Linked DNA regions of Callithrix jacchus. Each later gene encodes a partner of the first gene's protein in a complex. Links are inferred from orthologs where the notes say so. Each region holds a gene or a part of one and is shown in the gene's direction. Other genes may lie near its edges.

Region 1 (3,651 bases):
GGGGGATGCATGTGGGCCAGGGTCAGTATTTCATCATGGAAGCTTGACTTGTGCTGTTTTAAAATTGATGCTCCCTCTGCCTCTGGAAGAAAAATAGTCGAAATGGTAAAAAGTATTTAAAAAAATCTCTATAAGGACTGGATTTGCCCATTTCCACTGTCATATGAGGTGGGGGTGTTGTAGGGTGCTGCCTCTGTAGTCCATGTCCAATCACATCACAGCCCTGTTTCTCTGTGGCTTGAGGACAGCCTGCAACTAGGAGCTAGGGACTCAGGGCTTTAGGGCTGTCACTATGAGAAGTGACTCTGGCCCTTTTCTGTCTGTGGTGGGCTGCTGCTGCAAGCAGTGTGCCTGTTTATTTCATCAGAGACTAGCCTGTGGGCAAAGTAGTTGCTCTTGTCCAAAAAGGTACAGAACATGGATTGTGTAGAATCAGTGGAGAAACTTGGCGGCACAATTCTCTTTCCTGTTTGACCAGCAACCATAATCTGTCTGCGATTGGATCCATTTGCTAACAGAGGGGTTTGAGCTGGGTGTTGTCATCTCCCTCCATCTTACCCCCTGCCCTGGTTACAAACTGGGGACACCAAATACTGGAGATGCAGAATCGTTTGCCGGAAGTTGACTAGCCTGCAGAAATGGTAGGCCTGTGACTCAGCTGGCCTCTTGTCTTTGTTCCTTCCGGGGCCTGGTCCTGGCCTGCCAGTGAAAGGACACGGCTCTGCTCTTCCTGCCAGGTTGCAGGACCTTACCCTCTACAACCCTGAGAGGACCATCACTGTGAAGGGGGCCATTGAGAATTGTTGCAGGGCTGAGCAGGAAATAATGAAGAAAGTTCGAGAGGCCTACGAGAATGATGTGGCTGCCATGAGCGTGAGTGCTGGGCTAGAATCCTCTGGTTATCCTTTCCTGAGTCTTAGCAGTAGCAGCTGGTGGGGTACGGGGTGATGGATATGTGCCCTGTGCCATGTGGCCTTGAAGCTTTAGTTGATGCTTTTGGACCTTGGCAGTGAGAAATAGGTTTTTAAATTGTATTTAATTAGCAAGGATTCTTCACCTGGTTCCTAGGATAGGGGTCCAATCTTGGGCTTTGAGTCCAAGTATGTGGTTCCAAGTATGTGTACAATTTGTGTTTGTGTGCACTTTAGTGAAGTGGGGAGGTTCATCATTTTCATCTGATTTTTATATCTTTTTTTTTCTTTATTTTATTTTATTGAGACAGGGTCTTGCTCTGTTGCCCAGTTGGAGCACAATGGCACGATCATAGCTTACTGCAGCCTTGACCTTCTGGGCTCAAGGGATACTCCTGCCTCAGCCTCCCAAGTACCTAGGAGACTACAGGTGTGCACCACCATGCCCAGCTAATTTTTTAAAATTTTACTTTTTTGAGACAGGGTCTTGCTGTGTCACCCAGGTTGGTCTTGAACTCCTGGGCTCAAATGATTCTCCTGCCTTGGCCTCCCAAAGTACTAGGATTATAAGCATGAGCCAATTCATGCAGCTTATCTCATTTTTTAAAGGAGACTTGGGTTGGGGTACAGACCAAAAATTTTTAGAACCAGAGTCCTAGAAGTCAAATGGAACTCTGTTTCTGTACCTTCTTTTCTTATATAGGGGCATTATAATAGAGTGTCATGAGTCTATTATCTGTCTCCAGCAGTCTGAACAGCCAGAGAGAAAGGACTTCTGAGGTTGTGTAACTTTGGCATTTCTGGTTGCTGTTGCTAGCCCTTAGTCCAATGAGAACATCCTATCACTTAAAATTTCACACCCGAAGTGTGTAGGTGAGAGTGTATGAAAAGCACAAAGTACGCTTTTGTGTAAAAGCATGTAATTAATGTTTTTGGCTCTGGGGCTCCTTGCCCTTCTGGTTCAGCCAGGGCCACACACAAGGGACTACCAGGCCCTGTCAGGGTGTGCTGACTCCTCCTCCTCACCTTTCTTCCACAGCTTCAGTCTCACCTAATCCCTGGCCTGAACCTGGCTGCTGTAGGTCTTTTCCCAGCCTCGTCCAGCGCAGTCCCGCCACCTCCCAGCAGCGTTACTGGGGCTGCTCCCTATAGCTCCTTTATGGTAGGTGGAAGCTCTTATTACATGGGACCCCTGGGCCCATATGTAGCCTCCTTTAACGGGGGGCCAAGCACCCTATGGGAGTTGGCTGCCTGGCCATTTTGCAGGCAGAGGGAAGGAAGGGCTTGGGGTGTCCCTCCTCTCTATTGCTCCTAGCCACTGGCTCTAAGGTTCCCAAGTGTCTGCCTAGAATGCTGTCGGGGCACAGGCAGCACTGTTTCCTCACTCTTTCCTGGCCTTTTCCCTTTACTCCTTCCTCGTTGAGTGAGGATGCAAGGCAGGGGAATGGAGGGTTTCTGGGCCCTGCTCCTTGGTCCCCCAGGTAATAACATTCTGTGTCCTGGCAGCAGGCTCCCGAGCAGGAGATGGTGCAGGTGTTTATTCCCGCCCAGGCAGTGGGCGCCATCATCGGCAAGAAGGGGCAGCACATCAAACAGCTTTCCCGGTTTGCCAGCGCCTCCATCAAGGTGATCTGCTCTGTGGGTCTTCCTGTTTCTGGAAAGGGAGGGGGCTCTGCTTCTATCACTCTATACTTTCTCCCAGATTCCCCATACTCATTTGAGAATTCTGTGTCTCATGTGAGGGGGCTTTCCCCCATAGAATTGCAGTCCTCTTTCTTTTTAACCTTGCTTGATCCCCATGGAATGGCTTCAGTGCTTCTGGGTTTTCAGGCTGGGCAGGGCAGGGTTGTAACATAGAAAGAGAACTTAGGTTCTAACACAAATAGAATTGGGTTCAAATCCCAGACCCACTTTATCACCCCTTCCCCCATACGCTATGTGATCTGAGTCTCACTTTCCTCATCAGTACAATGTAATGAGGCTATGCAGCCAAAACCTTTGGCTCACATAGTAACACCAAGTGTTGATTATTTGTCACCTTCCCTAGCCAGTGTCTAGGGGAGAGAGAAGGGAGATCTGTCATCGTGAAACAAAGGTACTGTTAATTTTCACAAACTAAACCCAGTTGCTTCAGTTGTCTTAAAGGCGTTGGGCAGAAAACTTGATTGCTCCCCAGTGGAGGTGCAGTTATTGTCCTCTATCTGTTGGTCATTTTATTTATGTCCTTACCTGTTGGCAAGACTCCACTGAAACCTCTTGGGAGATCAGGAGATTGGTAGGTGGAGGGGGCAGGAGGTCCTACTTAGAAAATGTCATTGAAGCCAGTCCTTCTAACTGATCACCTCTGCCCTCCTAATAATTCTGGTGTGCAGGGGTGATGATGTGGGCTTCAGGGTCTTTGTTCTTCCTTTCCTAAGTCTTCAGAATGGGTAGTTCGAGTAAGGGTGGTAAAGGGGAACTGGATGAAGTAGGTATGGTGGGGGTCTTCCCATGGCGGGTCCATCATTGATTAGCTTTTTTGCTCTTTAGATTGCACCACCTGAAACACCTGACTCCAAAGTTCGTATGGTTATCATCACTGGACCGCCGGAGGCCCAATTCAAGGTTTTGGTCTTTATTGTTTTCCAAGCTGAACATGGAGGAATTGAGGTTGGGTATTTCCTCTGTGGTAGGAAAAAGGCTGGGGCAGTTTGCCATTAGCCATCAAGTCCTCATCATATATTTAAGCCTTCCCTGCAGG
Region 2 (3,651 bases), on another chromosome or scaffold:
GCCTTTTCAAACCTTCAGGTTGTAAAGGAGTGATACATTTGTTGATTGTTTTCTTTCATATTTTGTCTTTCTGAACGGTTTGGGCTTGGTAGCACTTGGTGACTTTAAGAACAGTAAGATACCTAAGTGTGCCCTAAAGCTCATCGTTGCAGACATTTTTTGTTATCAGTATCTTAAAGATTTCTGATACAAAGCAATGAAGAATTCAGGAAAAGACAATGAGAGGCACAGACAATTGGGGGAGCCAGGACAGCATTCCTGTATGGCCTTTTATTTAAAGGCATAACAGACAGCAACACCAGAGGTCTGTGTTCATAATACACATGTGCTGCTGCTTAGGCTGAACTAAGCAATCACATGGGAAACTATTGTAAACTGATTTCTGGTGTCGCTGTTCCCCCTAGGTGGAGGAGAATGAGATTGAGTGCTGACTTTAAGCCTGGCTGAGAAACATACTGGCATCGATGTCATTAATGAAAGGGTGGATGTTGTTCCCCTGAAAGCCAGTGGCCTTTGACCCCTGAAGCCGCTGTGCCTGAAGGTCAGTTCACAAGAGGTATAGGAAGGAGTCTAACATTTATTTTTTCTTAAGCCTCACCCAGCCTTTTATTCACAGCACAAAGTCTAGGTTTAGAATGTATCTGAGCAGTGAAAGGACCAGAATGCATAGAATTTCAAAGGGCAGTTTTTCCCTTGTGAAAATCTAAATTCATTTTCTAGACTCCACAAGCAGTTTGAGATATAATGTGACAGCATGTGTTTTGTTCTCCAGGACCTGATTTAAATAAATGTCATATAAATAGGCTAAATTTTTGTCATCCAGGGCCGCTTCCAACTGCAGGCAGATGTGAGAGCTCTGCCTTAGGAGCCATTGATGTGCACAAAATGAATGTGCATGTGTGAGTTTGCGTATATTAGCTTAATCCTAACAGATTGCAGTTCATAATGGGTGGCCTATGCAGAAGAATCTTAAAATAATTCTAACAGTAGTGTAAAGCATTTTGGGCCTACTTTATTTCTTGGCTCCAAGCTAAGTGGAAAATTCCTTTTCATTGAATGTGTTCTTGCTGTTCAGACTCCAGCCTTTGGAATAAGAGTAAGTAAATATAAAATCTAAAACCCTAACGTTTTCCTTTCATGAACAATTGGCTCATCGACTTTGATTATAGTTGTCTTATGCCGTGTTGTATATTTGAAGTTTATATACTTCATTTGTTCTAGGGTTGGGCAGAAATAAATGTTGGTAATTTTTTTTCTCTGTGATTTGCCTAAGCAGTTGGAAAGCCTGCCTGACTTGGGAGACCTGGATTTGCCAATTTCTAACAGTGAAATTTCTAACCTTGCTTGTATGTGTTGTTACAGGAGCTTTATTGCAGAAATGACCATTTATATCAAGCAGCTGGGCAGAAGTAAGTCACTGTTTCCCCGATATTCCAAGACTTTGTATAGAGAAGCTGTATTATTGAAAGAGCACATAATGTAAGATAGCATCTAGGGTATATTTTAGAATATTAGTAATTATAGACGTTAGAGAAAGTCTTCTAGTTTACGTATGAAGCAGACCATGTTAGTGTAATGTTTGAAAGGTAAGATAAAGCAGGATGATTAGGAGTCTGCCATTGTCAAAGAATTTTAAAACTTTTTTATATGTAAAATAAGTTATTTTGAGTGGATGGGAAATATTAAGGGATAAAGGCAGGCTAACTTCTGTCATATATTAATAGAATAAAAAGGAACTAGAAGCTGTGGCATACACTATATTTTAAGACTTTTGTACCTAAGCCCATGGTTCCTGGTGATAAGACTTACTTGATTAGGGGTTCCTGGTTTCTCACTTACTTGATTGGGGTTAATTTGGCTAGTTAGGCAGAAAGATACCTTTGTACCCCTTTGCATTATATTCATTTCTCCTAAAACTGAATGATACTGGGGAAGAAGAAACTTTCTATTAGTATTTTCTTCAAGGATACGAGTAGCTGTTAGCTTCTGTTTAATGCTGAGGTCAGCAAACTATAGCCGTCTGGCCAAATCCAATGTACTGCCTGTTTTTATAAGTGTTCTATTTGAACATAGCTACACTCATAACTAAACTTATTCCTTTGTCAGAGGACAGCAAACTCTTTCTATAAAGCACTAGGTGATAATATTCTAGACTTCACAGGTCATACATTTTAATTTTTATTTTATTTTTACAACTCTTGAAAAACATAAAACCATTCCCAGGCCTATGGTTTGTCAAACTATTGTCTGTGGCCGCTTTCATGCATTAGAGGCAGAGTTGAGTAGTTGTGACAGAGACTATGGCCTGCAAATCCTAAGATATTTATTAACCCTTTATGGAAAAAGTTTTCCAAATCCTGGTCTAGGTAACCACTCTGGACCTGATTACATTTATTGGTTTATTTTTTTACTCTTTGACTTCTTAAAAGTCAGACTATGTTTTCTTACCATATTTTAATGCCTGATGATAATAACACTGACAACCTTTAAAATAGGTTTTTGCTTTCATAATACTGAATTGTATGAGTCCTAGTATCAGCCTGTAGTCAAAACAGTGGGTTATTTAGTTGATAAACTGTTTGGCAATTTCTTTTGTTTATCATATATTAATAGAATAAAAAGGAACTAAAAGCCGTGGCATACACTATATTTTAAGACTTTTGTACCTAAGCCCATGGTTCCTGGTGATAAGATGTTTTTTTACTTAAGTGATTGATCCTTCTGTCTGATAAACCCGATCTTACATTATAGGAATTTTTGCACGAGAACATGGATCAAATAAGAAATTGGCAGCACAGTCCTGTGCCCTGTCACTTGTCAGACAACTCTACCATCTTGGAGTGGTTGAAGCTTACTCTGGACTTACAAAGAAGAAGGAAGGAGAGACAGTGAGTTTTTAGATTTATAATAGACTCGTGAGATATTTTAAGATTCAATTTAGCTCTTGTTTAGTATTTGGCTAAAGAAGTCTTAATTTCAAGGAATCTTACCTCAAGAAATGAAATGGCCTTGCTAATCATCTGTGTCTGGCATGATATCCGTAATAGGAAATGAGTAAATCATAATCATTGAAGTAATTCTCTCACTAAAGGGAACTGACTGTTGGCTTAGGAATACTGTAGAATTAGTTTTGACTGTATAGTCTTAGCGCTACTAAAGTAGATTTGAGTAGTATTTATATGTGTGATCCTTTTTTGTAGGTGGAGCCTTACAAAGTAAACATCTCTCAAGATTTAGAGCATCAGCTGCAAAACATTATTCAAGAGCTAAATCTTGAGATTCTGCCCCCGGTAAGCATACAGCTATTTAGTTTACATGTATTTAGAACTCTCAGTAGACAGGCAAATCATTTTGTTGTTGTTTTTCTTATTTTTTAATAGCCTGAAGATCCTTCTGTGCCAGTGGCACTCAACATTGGCAAATTGGCTCAGTTTGAACCATCTCAACGACAAAACCAAGTGGGTGTGGTTCCTTGGTCACCTCCACAATCCAACTGGAATCCTTGGACCAGTAGCAACATTGATGAGGGGCCTCTGGCTTTTGTGAGTGCAGTATTATTTTTGAGATCAGACTCTCGTGTTTCACTCTTGAGTATGTTTGATTAGTATGTCTAGGTACAAAATGGATTTATTTTGAAGCTGAATTATGTGG

What was found. Proteins that work in one complex are often made in the same cells at the same time.
Region 2: IGF2BP1 (region 1) and DHX9 share a complex: the UniProt entries of both Homo sapiens proteins name them as parts of the coding region determinant (CRD)-mediated complex. The link is inferred for Callithrix jacchus from reciprocal best matches to the Homo sapiens genes IGF2BP1 and DHX9.

Annotation. Positions count from the first base shown.
Region 1 is NC_133506.1:117,250,043-117,253,693, reverse strand, and holds part of IGF2BP1 (insulin-like growth factor 2 mRNA-binding protein 1), read left to right. Parts: intron 1-737; coding exon 738-873; intron 874-1,950; coding exon 1,951-2,073; intron 2,074-2,417; coding exon 2,418-2,537; intron 2,538-3,440; coding exon 3,441-3,515; intron 3,516-3,651. UniProt on the Homo sapiens protein: RNA-binding factor that recruits target transcripts to cytoplasmic protein-RNA complexes (mRNPs). This transcript 'caging' into mRNPs allows mRNA transport and transient storage.
Region 2 is NC_133519.1:41,043,883-41,047,533, forward strand, and holds part of DHX9 (ATP-dependent RNA helicase A), read left to right. Parts: intron 1-399; exon of another isoform or gene 400-541; intron 542-1,362; coding exon 1,363-1,409; intron 1,410-2,751; coding exon 2,752-2,888; intron 2,889-3,200; coding exon 3,201-3,290; intron 3,291-3,380; coding exon 3,381-3,542; intron 3,543-3,651. UniProt on the Homo sapiens protein: Multifunctional ATP-dependent nucleic acid helicase that unwinds DNA and RNA in a 3' to 5' direction and that plays important roles in many processes, such as DNA replication, transcriptional activation, post-transcriptional RNA regulation, mRNA translation and RNA-mediated gene silencing.